Linked DNA regions of Arabidopsis thaliana. The protein of the gene in region 2 interacts with the protein of the main gene of each other region in a pairwise test. Each region holds a gene or a part of one and is shown on either strand. Other genes may lie near its edges.

What was found. Proteins that work in one complex are often made in the same cells at the same time.
Region 1: the proteins of AT1G06760 (region 2) and DME interact in a two-hybrid assay, tested with the Arabidopsis thaliana proteins (one study listed by BioGRID).

What each region holds. Positions count from the first base shown.
Region 1 is NC_003076.8:1,306,040-1,312,764, forward strand, and holds the start of DME (HhH-GPD base excision DNA repair family protein), read left to right. Parts: upstream 1-3,074; 5' UTR 3,075-3,197; exon of another isoform or gene 3,198-3,580; 5' UTR 3,581-3,746; coding exon 3,747-4,317; exon of another isoform or gene 4,318-4,428; coding exon 4,429-6,549; intron 6,550-6,647; coding exon 6,648-6,725. UniProt on the Arabidopsis thaliana protein: Transcriptional activator involved in gene imprinting. Catalyzes the release of 5-methylcytosine (5-meC) from DNA by a glycosylase/lyase mechanism.
Region 2 is NC_003070.9:2,075,203-2,080,667, forward strand, and holds AT1G06760 (winged-helix DNA-binding transcription factor family protein), read right to left. Parts: upstream 2,566-5,465; 5' UTR 2,415-2,565; coding exon 2,214-2,414; intron 2,109-2,213; coding exon 1,485-2,108; 3' UTR 1,302-1,484; downstream 1-1,301. Other genes in the region: AT1G06750 (P-loop containing nucleoside triphosphate hydrolases superfamily protein), read left to right, coding at 66-388, 478-622, 882-1,148; DRIP1 (DREB2A-interacting protein 1), read right to left, coding at 4,020-4,199, 4,310-4,382, 4,515-4,565, 4,675-5,105, 5,268-5,465. UniProt on the Arabidopsis thaliana protein: Histones H1 are necessary for the condensation of nucleosome chains into higher-order structures.

The DNA of each region.
Region 1 (6,725 bases), on a different chromosome or scaffold from region 2:
CCCACATGGTGTGATGAGAGAGAGAGAGAGAGAGGTTAAAGCAGCAAATTGTGGAGAGATAAAGAGAGAGAGAGACTGAGCGAGTCAAGTTCGTCGTCGTGTTTAAAAGAAAGAATCCTATATTTGCCTTTTTCTTTACTACTTTATTTTCAGACTATTTGCTTATTTTGCCTCAAACTTTTTTGATTGTCACTTTTCGATCCTAAAGTGTTTGACAATTTACCTGCCTTTTTCTCCAAGAAAAATCAGAACAGACCACAGCAAATTTATGTATTTTCTATTAAAAAAGAAAGAAAGAATTCATATTACTTATAGAATTAAAAGCTAAGCAGTTGAAAACGTGAAAGCAGAATTTCTAAAAAAAATAGTAAACTGCTACAAACTTATTTATGTGTATATAACATATCTATAAAGAAACTCAAATATATGATAAATCATTTTAACAAAATTTCTATGAAATTATAATAAAAAAAGTCACTTTTGACACTTAAAAGGTTGACAATAACCGTCTCTCCAAAAAAAAATCAAAACATTTATAATTTCTAAAACTATGGTGTAATTTTGCTGAAATCAAAAAGAAAAGAAGGATTTCTATATCATAAGTTTCATTATTGTATCAAACTTTCAAATTTCATGTAATTTGAAAGGAAAAAAATTAAGATATAATGTTGTTTTTGTTTCTTATGTTACATTTTCATGGAATATATATTCATAACAAAAAATGTATTTTAATATGATGAGAGATTACCATCCAAAAGGTCGAACTTATATAAAACAAGTTAATAACTAAACAATACATGTGATCACAATCAATGACAGTTTTGATCTTAAAATAGAAATGATTGAGCAAACCTCAAAAATGTCTTCTTAGGATCACAAAATCTTTCCTTTAGCTTATTAAAGCCGGGAGTTCAACTCTCTCTCCCTTGTAGACTTTTTGTTTTCAAATCTTTTTCTTTCAAAAAATCAATAATTAGTTAATGGGCATAATATTTGGTTTTAATTAAGTCCATAGATTTTTTAGGACCATCTCTAATCACGACAAATATCCTAAATTGTAACACATTTAAAACTTAAAAGTATTGCATTCACAATCCTTAAAATATATATATATATATATATATATATATATATATATATATATGAAAGTTATATAGAAACGATAACTCCTTACTCAACAATTAGCCCAAAAAAACATCCATAATGCATTTAAACTAGGAATTTTAACAAACTCAAATAGGTTGGTAGTTAAAAAAAAACAAATAGTAGATGTACATACGTACCTTTAAAAATATATACTCATATCGAAAGTTTTAAATTTTGCGAAATTAAATACATTTATCTATCAATTAAAATACATTTAATAATGCATAATTCTGTAATATCTATCTTTAATTTCCATATAGAACCAAAACAAAATAAACATATCAAATAGTTTTAACTTAACAAAAACGTTAGGGAAAAGTTGACCTAACTAGCTTGATTGACGTTGAACTTGTCAATGCGAAAGCGATATTTCCAATATATACTACATGTAGTATTATTTATATGGAAGTTTCTAAAAAGGTGTTGAGTGGATTGTTACTTGTTGGAGGATGCTATTTTTTCCTTCTTGCCATAATATTTTACGAGTATGGGATAACTACATACTCATGATTATGAAACGCTCACTTTATTTGAAAAACCTCCTAATACACCAAATATGTCACTAGATTCCAAAACGTAGACCAATTGTATCTAATCTCAAATTCTCAATCAAAGTATTAATTTACCGATGGTAAGAAAAGTTAACCGATATAATTATCAAAAGAAAGAATAAGTCAACAGATTCTTAATCTCTTTATTTTGGTATATGAACATTTGTACAAAAATCTCAAAAGATATGTAACTGTTTAAAATATAAATTCACTGAGATTAATTCTTCAGACTCGTGTTAGCTATAATAATGTCAAGAGTTCTTCTTGTTTCAAGGAAAAACCTTAAAGATATGTATATTTTCTGTAATTATGATGATATAATTTGCTATTCATTGTCACAAACATTACTTTAAAAAATCGTATTTTCATTACTACAATGTTGACTAAGAACAAAAATACATTGATTATTGATATATCGTCAACTGAATTTTCTTCCGAGGGATATAATTCTCAAACATAGCAAGAATCTCATAATAATGTTTCGTGACTACCTTTAGACGAAATTTTTTTAAGATTCGTAACGTGACTTATGGTCTCTTGCTGTGGGGGTCAATGCGAATAAATCTAAATGTATGGGAGTCAAATAAAATACCAAGAAAAATAAAGGAGCAGCACCCAATAAACTATATGGGACCAGAAATCCTTTCATTGGTTTAAAATAGGATTATCCCGAAAGATGAAGGACTAAATTGAAACTGATTGGGGGTAGGAAGAGATCCGTCACAATCATTAATGGCTTCCACGCGGAAACTTGTCGTTTATACAATTTCATTAACTTTCGGGTCGGGTTTATATTCCAAATGGGTCAAATAATATTAGTTTAATACACTAACGGAGTAATTAATTGGTGACTACAATTTTATCAGTTTGGTGCAATTAGAAACGAACATAGTCGTAAAATACGAGTTCGGTGTTATACCTTTATTTACGTTAAAAAAATACGAGAATTTTGTGTCAAATTTCAAATTAATTTCATGAATATATGGAAATTATTAGATACTCTAGCGAAAATAGTGATTATGAGCGTTTTACAAAAATACGATTTTAGCATTGAACTTCCTTTATGTAATTCGGTCAAATGTTGGCATGAAGAAGCAAGTTTGCAACATTAAATTTCATTTAAAAATCGTGTTGACATACTTTAAAATCTAAATATAGGAAGAAGACCAAAACATTAAATTTAGTAAGATTCTAATGAACATTTATAAGTTATAACTTATAACCAACAAAAGTTGGGTTTAGCGTTGTTGCTTTATCTGAAAACTTGCAAACTAAACCATTTTAATAGGACTAATGACAATTAACAACAAAATACACTTAAGCAACAACGTCCTCGTGAATATAATTTGGGCCTCAGGCCCATATTGCTAACGCCAACTGATATTTCACTTTATTCCTTCTTCATCTCACCACACTCTCTCTCTATCTCTATCTCTAACGGCATAGCTGACTCAGTGTTCTCCGGCATTGACTCGCCTGAGAATCAGAAAGCTTAGATCGGTGAGCTTTTAGCTCCATTTTCTGTTTATTTACATATTATTTCCTTTTTTTCTCTCTCCCTTTTTTATCTGGAATTTGTTCTGCTAAATTTTCCAGCTGTTACATTTTCCGATCACGAGAAGAATCACTGGGTTTTTATGTTAATCAATACATGTTCCTGTTTTCTGATCATAAATCTCAGCTATTAACACCTGATTTTGATTCTGCGTAATAAAAACCTCTGATTTGCTTTTATCTTCACTTTCCCCATAAACATTGCTTACTTTATTCGCTCTTCTTTTACCGTTTCCAGCTAAAAAATTCTTCGCTATTCAATGTGTTTCTCGTTTTGTTGATGAGAAAAATATCTGACAAAAAATCATTTATTGCATTTTATGGTGCAGATTCTTAGTTAATGTCGCCTTCTCTAACCAAGTCAGATTAAAAAGGAGTGTTCGTCCATGTTGCTTTGTTTTGGTGTTTGGAGAGAGTTTTCGGAGAGTTAGGTGAGTGTTATTTGGGGTGAGGTAGTGATAAGGTTTGAAGGGGGAGTGATTCATCAAGTGTGTTATGAATTCGAGGGCTGATCCGGGGGATAGATATTTTCGAGTTCCTTTGGAGAATCAAACTCAACAAGAGTTCATGGGTTCTTGGATTCCATTTACACCCAAAAAACCTAGATCAAGTCTGATGGTAGATGAGAGAGTGATAAACCAGGATCTAAATGGGTTTCCAGGTGGTGAATTTGTAGACAGGGGATTCTGCAACACTGGTGTGGATCATAATGGGGTTTTTGATCATGGTGCTCATCAGGGCGTTACCAACTTAAGTATGATGATCAATAGCTTAGCGGGATCACATGCACAAGCTTGGAGTAATAGTGAGAGAGATCTTTTGGGCAGGAGTGAGGTGACTTCTCCTTTAGCACCAGTTATCAGAAACACCACCGGTAATGTAGAGCCGGTCAATGGAAATTTTACTTCAGATGTGGGTATGGTAAATGGTCCTTTCACCCAGAGTGGCACTTCTCAAGCTGGCTATAATGAGTTTGAATTGGATGACTTGTTGAATCCTGATCAGATGCCCTTCTCCTTCACAAGCTTGCTGAGTGGTGGGGATAGCTTATTCAAGGTTCGTCAATGTGAGTGATCAAATCTATTTTCAGTTTTTTTTTTTCCCTTTCTTCCGTTCTTGCAGTACTTAGAGTAGAACATGAATTAGAATATCTTAAGAAAGTCATGGTTTTGAACAGATGGACCTCCAGCGTGTAACAAGCCTCTTTACAATTTGAATTCACCAATTAGAAGAGAAGCAGTTGGGTCAGTCTGTGAAAGTTCGTTTCAATATGTACCGTCAACGCCCAGTCTGTTCAGAACAGGTGAAAAGACTGGATTCCTTGAACAGATAGTTACAACTACTGGACATGAAATCCCAGAGCCGAAATCTGACAAAAGTATGCAGAGCATTATGGACTCGTCTGCTGTTAATGCGACGGAAGCTACTGAACAAAATGATGGCAGCAGACAAGATGTTCTGGAGTTCGACCTTAACAAAACTCCTCAGCAGAAACCCTCCAAAAGGAAAAGGAAGTTCATGCCCAAGGTGGTCGTGGAAGGCAAACCTAAAAGAAAGCCACGCAAACCTGCAGAACTTCCCAAAGTGGTCGTGGAAGGCAAACCTAAAAGGAAGCCACGCAAAGCTGCAACTCAGGAAAAAGTGAAATCTAAAGAAACCGGGAGTGCCAAAAAGAAAAATTTGAAAGAATCAGCAACTAAAAAGCCAGCCAATGTTGGAGATATGAGCAACAAAAGCCCTGAAGTCACACTCAAAAGTTGCAGAAAAGCTTTGAATTTTGACTTGGAGAATCCTGGAGATGCGAGGCAAGGTGACTCTGAGTCTGAAATTGTCCAGAACAGTAGTGGCGCAAACTCGTTTTCTGAGATCAGAGATGCCATTGGTGGAACTAATGGTAGTTTCCTGGATTCAGTGTCACAAATAGACAAGACCAATGGATTGGGGGCTATGAACCAGCCACTTGAAGTGTCAATGGGAAACCAGCCAGATAAACTATCTACAGGAGCGAAACTGGCCAGAGACCAACAACCTGATTTATTGACTAGAAACCAGCAATGCCAGTTCCCAGTGGCAACCCAGAACACCCAGTTCCCAATGGAAAACCAACAAGCTTGGCTTCAGATGAAAAACCAACTTATTGGCTTTCCATTTGGTAACCAGCAACCTCGCATGACCATAAGAAACCAGCAGCCTTGCTTGGCCATGGGTAATCAACAACCTATGTATCTGATAGGAACTCCACGGCCTGCATTAGTAAGTGGAAACCAGCAACTAGGAGGTCCCCAAGGAAACAAGCGGCCTATATTTTTGAATCACCAGACTTGTTTACCTGCTGGAAATCAGCTATATGGATCACCTACAGACATGCATCAACTTGTTATGTCAACCGGAGGGCAACAACATGGACTACTGATAAAAAACCAGCAACCTGGATCATTAATAAGAGGCCAGCAGCCTTGCGTACCTTTGATTGACCAGCAACCTGCAACTCCAAAAGGTTTTACTCACTTGAATCAGATGGTAGCTACCAGCATGTCATCGCCTGGGCTTCGACCTCATTCTCAGTCACAAGTTCCTACAACATATCTACATGTGGAATCTGTTTCCAGGATTTTGAATGGGACTACAGGTACATGCCAGAGAAGCAGGGCTCCTGCATACGATTCTTTACAGCAAGATATCCATCAAGGAAATAAGTACATACTTTCTCATGAGATATCCAATGGTAATGGGTGCAAGAAAGCGTTACCTCAAAACTCTTCTCTGCCAACTCCAATTATGGCTAAACTTGAGGAAGCCAGGGGCTCGAAGAGACAGTATCATCGTGCAATGGGACAGACGGAAAAGCATGATCTAAACTTAGCTCAACAGATTGCTCAATCACAAGATGTGGAGAGACATAACAGCAGCACGTGTGTGGAATATTTAGATGCTGCAAAGAAAACGAAAATCCAGAAAGTAGTCCAAGAAAATTTGCATGGCATGCCACCTGAGGTTATAGAAATCGAGGATGATCCAACTGATGGGGCAAGAAAAGGTAAAAATACTGCCAGCATCAGTAAAGGTGCATCTAAAGGAAACTCGTCTCCAGTTAAAAAGACAGCAGAAAAGGAGAAATGTATTGTCCCAAAAACGCCTGCAAAAAAGGGTCGAGCAGGTAGAAAAAAATCAGTACCTCCGCCTGCTCATGCCTCAGAGATCCAGCTTTGGCAACCTACTCCTCCAAAGACACCTTTATCAAGAAGCAAGCCTAAAGGAAAAGGGAGAAAGTCCATACAAGATTCAGGAAAAGCAAGAGGTAACTAATGTATTCTACAATCTCTGTGATATAATTTTGAGATTTTAGTAACTGATGTGTCCAAACCAGCTCCTTATCACTGTTGGTGCGTTGTATAGGTCCATCAGGAGAACTTCTGTGTCAGGATTCTATTGCGGAAATAATTTACAGGATGCAAAATCTGTATCTAGGAGACA
Region 2 (5,465 bases):
AGAACCTGTCGGAGTCATGAAAATGTTGATTCTGAGGTTTGAAATTGTTTTGTGAGAATATATAGGTTCATCAGTCATCAACAGATGCAGCTTCATCCCTGCTAGTGACGGCTCTGAACGAAGGAAGGGATGTGATAATGGATGGGACACTCTCTTGGGTACCTTTTGTGGTGCAGACAATAACAATGGCGAGGAACGTACACCGACACCATTACAGAATGGGAGCTGGATACAAGGTTGGTGATGATGGAGTTATAACAGAGAACTATTGGGAACGAATTGGTGAAAGGCAACAGATTCAAGAGGATGGTCGTAGGAGAAAACCGTATAGAATAGAACTAGTTGGAGTTGTGTGCGATGCGTATTTAGCAGTTATAAGAGGCATTAGGTGAGTACAAAGCACCATCTTATCTTTCAATCTATCTTTCAAGTTTGTCTCTTATTAACTTAAAAGAGTGTTTTTGGCTGAGATTGTAGGAGAGCTATCATGTGCAGAAGAGCAGTTAGGGTGAGATCACAGCTGAGATCTCACAAACGGTTTGCGGAAGCATTTCCTACATATTGCAGCCTTGTCGACAATGCTAGGCTCTACTGCACTAACGCGCTGGAAGGCTCTCCAAAGGTTAGTTTTGAAATTGGAACCGATAAACTTATACTTTAACTCAATGCAACAAAGAACTTAACCGATTTGAACAAGAGAAATTTCAAACTCTCGACCAATGCCTAAGCCAAGATCCTAGACCAACTTAGAAAGCCCCAACTCACCCCTAGGCTAGTTATAGTTCTCCTGCACTAAGAGTTAACAAGAACATCTTATCAATGGTGCATAGATAATAGTAGATAAGAAAAATACTAATAGGTGAAGTGTGATTGTGAAACAGCTGATAGGTTGGAAAGAAAAGGAAAAGACATTGCTAGTAGATACAGAAGAGATAGATTGTTTGAAGCGAGTAGGAGGGTTAAACGAGAACGCAGGCTCCATTTACGAGCTCTATAGACAACCCAACCCTGCTTGTGAAGCAGGTTCAATCTGGAAAGACATTGTTCTTTCACCTTCAAGGTTTAGCATTCAACAGGAACTCAAATATTCCATTCAGAAAGTTGAAAAAAGATCTAAACAACATCTCATCAACAACACCAAAAGCTGAAAATGGTAAACATAGAAAACAAGGGCAGAGTTGACAAGGAAGAACAGAAACTTGTTCATTGTATAACTTCAATGTTGTAAAAGTTTGTTGATTGTATAATAACATCCATGTTTACTATAACTCAACAAGAACAGCACTAGCCTGACACAAATTAGCTGCAAAGAAACTCGAGTTTGCTTCATTGATGAAATCTATATATGATTTAAGGGGTAGTCCAAAGGAACTGTGAATAACAAGAACACTGAAAGAAGAAAAGCAAACAAAGTCGCATAAAGATGATTGAATTATACAAGTCTAAACTATCGTTAACCATTCTTCTACCTACAAACCCTAACTTCACTTCTTAACCCTAGAAGAAGCCCTCTTTGCTGGAGACTTAACCGTCTTTGGCTTCACAACCTTCTTAACCGGAGTCTTCTTCTTTGTGGCCACCGTAGCAACTTTCTTCGTGGCAGCAACAGCTTTCTTAGCCGGAGATGTAACCTTGGCCGTTTTGGCTGCCTTGGCTGGTCTAGCCTTAGCCTTGGGCTTCGCATCAACAGCTTTCCTCTTAGTTGCAGCAGCAGTGGCACGAGGAACGGGCTTAGCCTTAGCCTTCGCGGTCACTTTCTTAGCAGCAGCAGTCTTAGGTTTAACGGCGATTGTTTTCTTAGCCTTGGAAGCCGCAGCGACCTTTCTCTTCGCCTTGGTAACCGCCACAGTCGCCGGTTTCTTCTTCGCAGGAGCAGATTTCTCCGCTGCCGCCTTAGGGGATGATGCTTTAGCCGACGCCGATGGGAGTTTAAACGAGGCTTTGACCTTCACAAGCTTCCCAGAAGCAACGAGTCTCTTCAGATTGAGAAGCAACAGCTTTCTGAATGTTGGAGGAAGCTCCTTACGCTTCTCCTCGATGAACTTCTGAATCGCGTATTGGCTAGATCCAGTTCTCTCTTTCAACGTAACAATCGCATCCTTAATCATCTGAAATCGCATCAACAAAGAACACAAAAATCAATTTCTAAATTCCAAAATCAGAATCCGGCTTAATAAGAAACACGAATAAACGAAATCGAATCTCATTTTTACCTCTTCGTAAGTAGGATGAGATGAAACAGTTCTCTTCTTCGGAGCGGCAGCAACAGTCTTCTTCTCCTTCACTTCCTTAACATTCTTCGTCTTTCGTCCTTTCGCTGCAGGCTTCTTCTCAACGGCCGCATCCGTCACCGGCGCATCCGCAGCGGTGTTTCCTTCGATCGTAGCAGCGTTCTCTATTTCCACCTCTGACATCGTCTTCTGAACTTAAGATCGGAAAATTTGATTGCAAGAAAGCGTAAATGTAATTTCGAAAGTGATTATGAGGATTGTGAAGAGGATCATTGGAAACGTCCGATTTATATAGTTAGATGTGTATTAGACGGCAATTCATATCTGGCTTCTGATTGGTTAAAACAATGACTACGCGGATCGCTACTCTTTTCTCAGGTTTGAATATTAATCGTTGGATCAAATTTTATCGACGGCAGAGAAAGAAGGAGTGTAGATGGTGGGATGAGTAAGTTAGTGGATGTGGATTAGATGCTTTGGTCATATTTGTTGTGCTTTTAGACTCGATTCATTTGACCATAACTCGTGATATACTCGATGAAATTCGTTTTTGTTTTTTGCATTGTGTAGAAAATTCTGTGAGGGTTCGTTTGATTATCTAAACGTGAAAAATGGATTATTTTGTAATGAGATATTCGGTTATGAAGCAAGATATGTCAAAACTATTGTTTTTCTTGCTAGTATTACAGTATATTTGGTTTTTCGAATAATGCTAAAGAGAATTTCGATGAAAATTATGTTAATATGAAACTTGACTAATCAAGGAGTGAACCGAACCAATAAACGTGGGATTTCAATTACTTTTTGATCCAAAATCATTTGAATGAATACTACCTAAGATGACCATCCTCTAGAATATGTTGCACACTACTTGTTGATGTGTCATGTGTCTATGTTAAAAAGAGTCCGGATTATTCATAGATTGTGATTTACTAGTTTAAGTATGTAATCAACCAATTTTAATTGATATTAAAACACATGTATAACTTTCCTTTAGTTATGATGCATAGATTACGTTTCTTAAGAGCAACACATGTACAAGGTCATCCGAGAGGCAATCTAGTCTAGGTGCAATCTCTTCAATGATTTTTTTTTGTTTTCTTTTGGATATCGTTAAGCATCATGGCTATATGTAAAGCATGAATTAAAAAGAATCTGTTAAATTGCATACTCGTAACATTTTTTGAACATCATAACAATTTGTTATATAAATATGTTACTCATATTAAGCATGATGGTTGTCACCACATAGTGGTACTCACGATAACACAAAATAGTGATAATGAACTTCATTCGTCTTTTGTCAGATAAGTTTTATGTAGTTAATTTGGTAGTTTTCTACCTCCATATAGGTCATCACAGTTCTACTACATTCGTCATCCACAGTCAACACTTGAACAGTAATTCTTGAAAACCTTAGTTTCCATAGAAATGATGTAGTACCCAAATAAATGCATATAAATCAATCTAAAACATCTTAAACTACAACATTTGATTAGAAAGTGACAACAATGTTACATGCAAGTCCAGAGAGGACACATAGTAGAAGAAGAAGAAAGAAAAGGGAAACAAATTTTGTATTTTCTTGCACAGAAAAGCGACTCATGAGTGTATATTTCGTCTATAGAAAAAAATATTAATACTAATTTCACAACACATTCGACTGCTCCTGTAGTTCTAGTAATGTTCTCTCTTGTAATGCTTTGAGAGATTCCATAAACCGAAAAGAAAAGATTACCCTGTCTCCACAGAATCTTCTTCTGCAACAACATGAGTCTTTAAAGTCCTTTACATGTTGCACTCTGGTAGCTTCCGAGCATAGACAAGAACCATCGTAAAATCCTTTGCAGAAGAACCTACCAATGCAGCAAACCGTTGGTGGTTTGAACTTTTCTGGAGCCATAGATCCACTAAATTGTAAAGCGTCAGCGTTGGGATCACCGCTTCTCCCATACACTTTATCTCTATCTGAACATAAACCATAAGTATGTCCATTTTTTATCAACCAAACATATAAGTTCCATTATATTCAAACGTTCTATCCTTTCTCGTGCCATAGTGCATATAAAGACCCTTACCTCATTTTCACTCTCGAGATCTAGCTTCCTCATGAGGTACTTTTGGATGAAAGAAACTGTTGTATTTCCATCCCTATCACAGAATGAGACATTGGATTATCTTCCCCAACAAAAGAATTCCTCATAACAGAAAAATGAGGGACTATGTAAGATGCAGCGACAACACAGGATATATAAAACAAAGAATACCTAAACTGTAACCTACCTTATTCTCAAAAAATTTGCTGGAATTTGAGGTAAAGAAGTTCCTCCTTCCCTGTAACCAGTAAGCCCTTGTCAATATACCAAGAGAAGAGAAACAAAATGAAGAAAGAGAGAAAGATCATGAAAGGAAATAGTTTCAGATATGAGAGCAAAAATCTCACTGATCATTGGACGCCACAAGTGAGAACCAAACGGGACCATTTCTCCTCTCCTGTTTTGCACTTGACTCATCTGGTTGTGGCAAATTCCTTGAATCGCCTAAAGTGGTGGCAGACCTTTTGCGTTGAGTTGTACGCATTCTTTTAGGAGTAACAGTTTCTGATGTTGTAGGATCACCATTATTACTCTTGTCATCCTCACGTTTACATTTTCTCTTTTTATTCTTAGTTTTGGTTTTACTCCCTTGAAATTGATTGCGAGATACATTCGCGTGCTCAGATTTTGAACCTGACCCTTGAGAAGCAGAAGACTTCAAGGGCTTTGTCCCATTTGCCACTTCAACCAGAAAGTTCAAAGGTTTCCAATCCATTTTGGAATCCCAGGGTTCATCACCATCCTTGTTTTCTTTATTGGAGATGGACTCTTTACATGACTGCAAAAAACAAAATAACTCAAATGAATGTGAGACCAATAACAGTATCAAATATTTTTACTGAATATTTACTTTTGAAGTGTACCAAACAAAAATAAATATGTAACCAAATCATGTCAAATATGAAGTCATTACGAGAAAATAGAGTAGTTCAGTGATCACCTTCTTTGACTGTCTTTTATTCTGAGTGAATTTGTTAAGAGTGTCGGGTGAGCTTGTGCTCTCCAGAAGCTCATCCCCAGAAGATTCTTCCTTCTTCACAGTTCTCTCAGCCAAAGAACCATTACGTAACTCTTTTCTTGTAGGTGCTTTAGTTCTTCTTCTCGTTGTTCCAGCTTGTGCTGACACCATAGGTGTGCT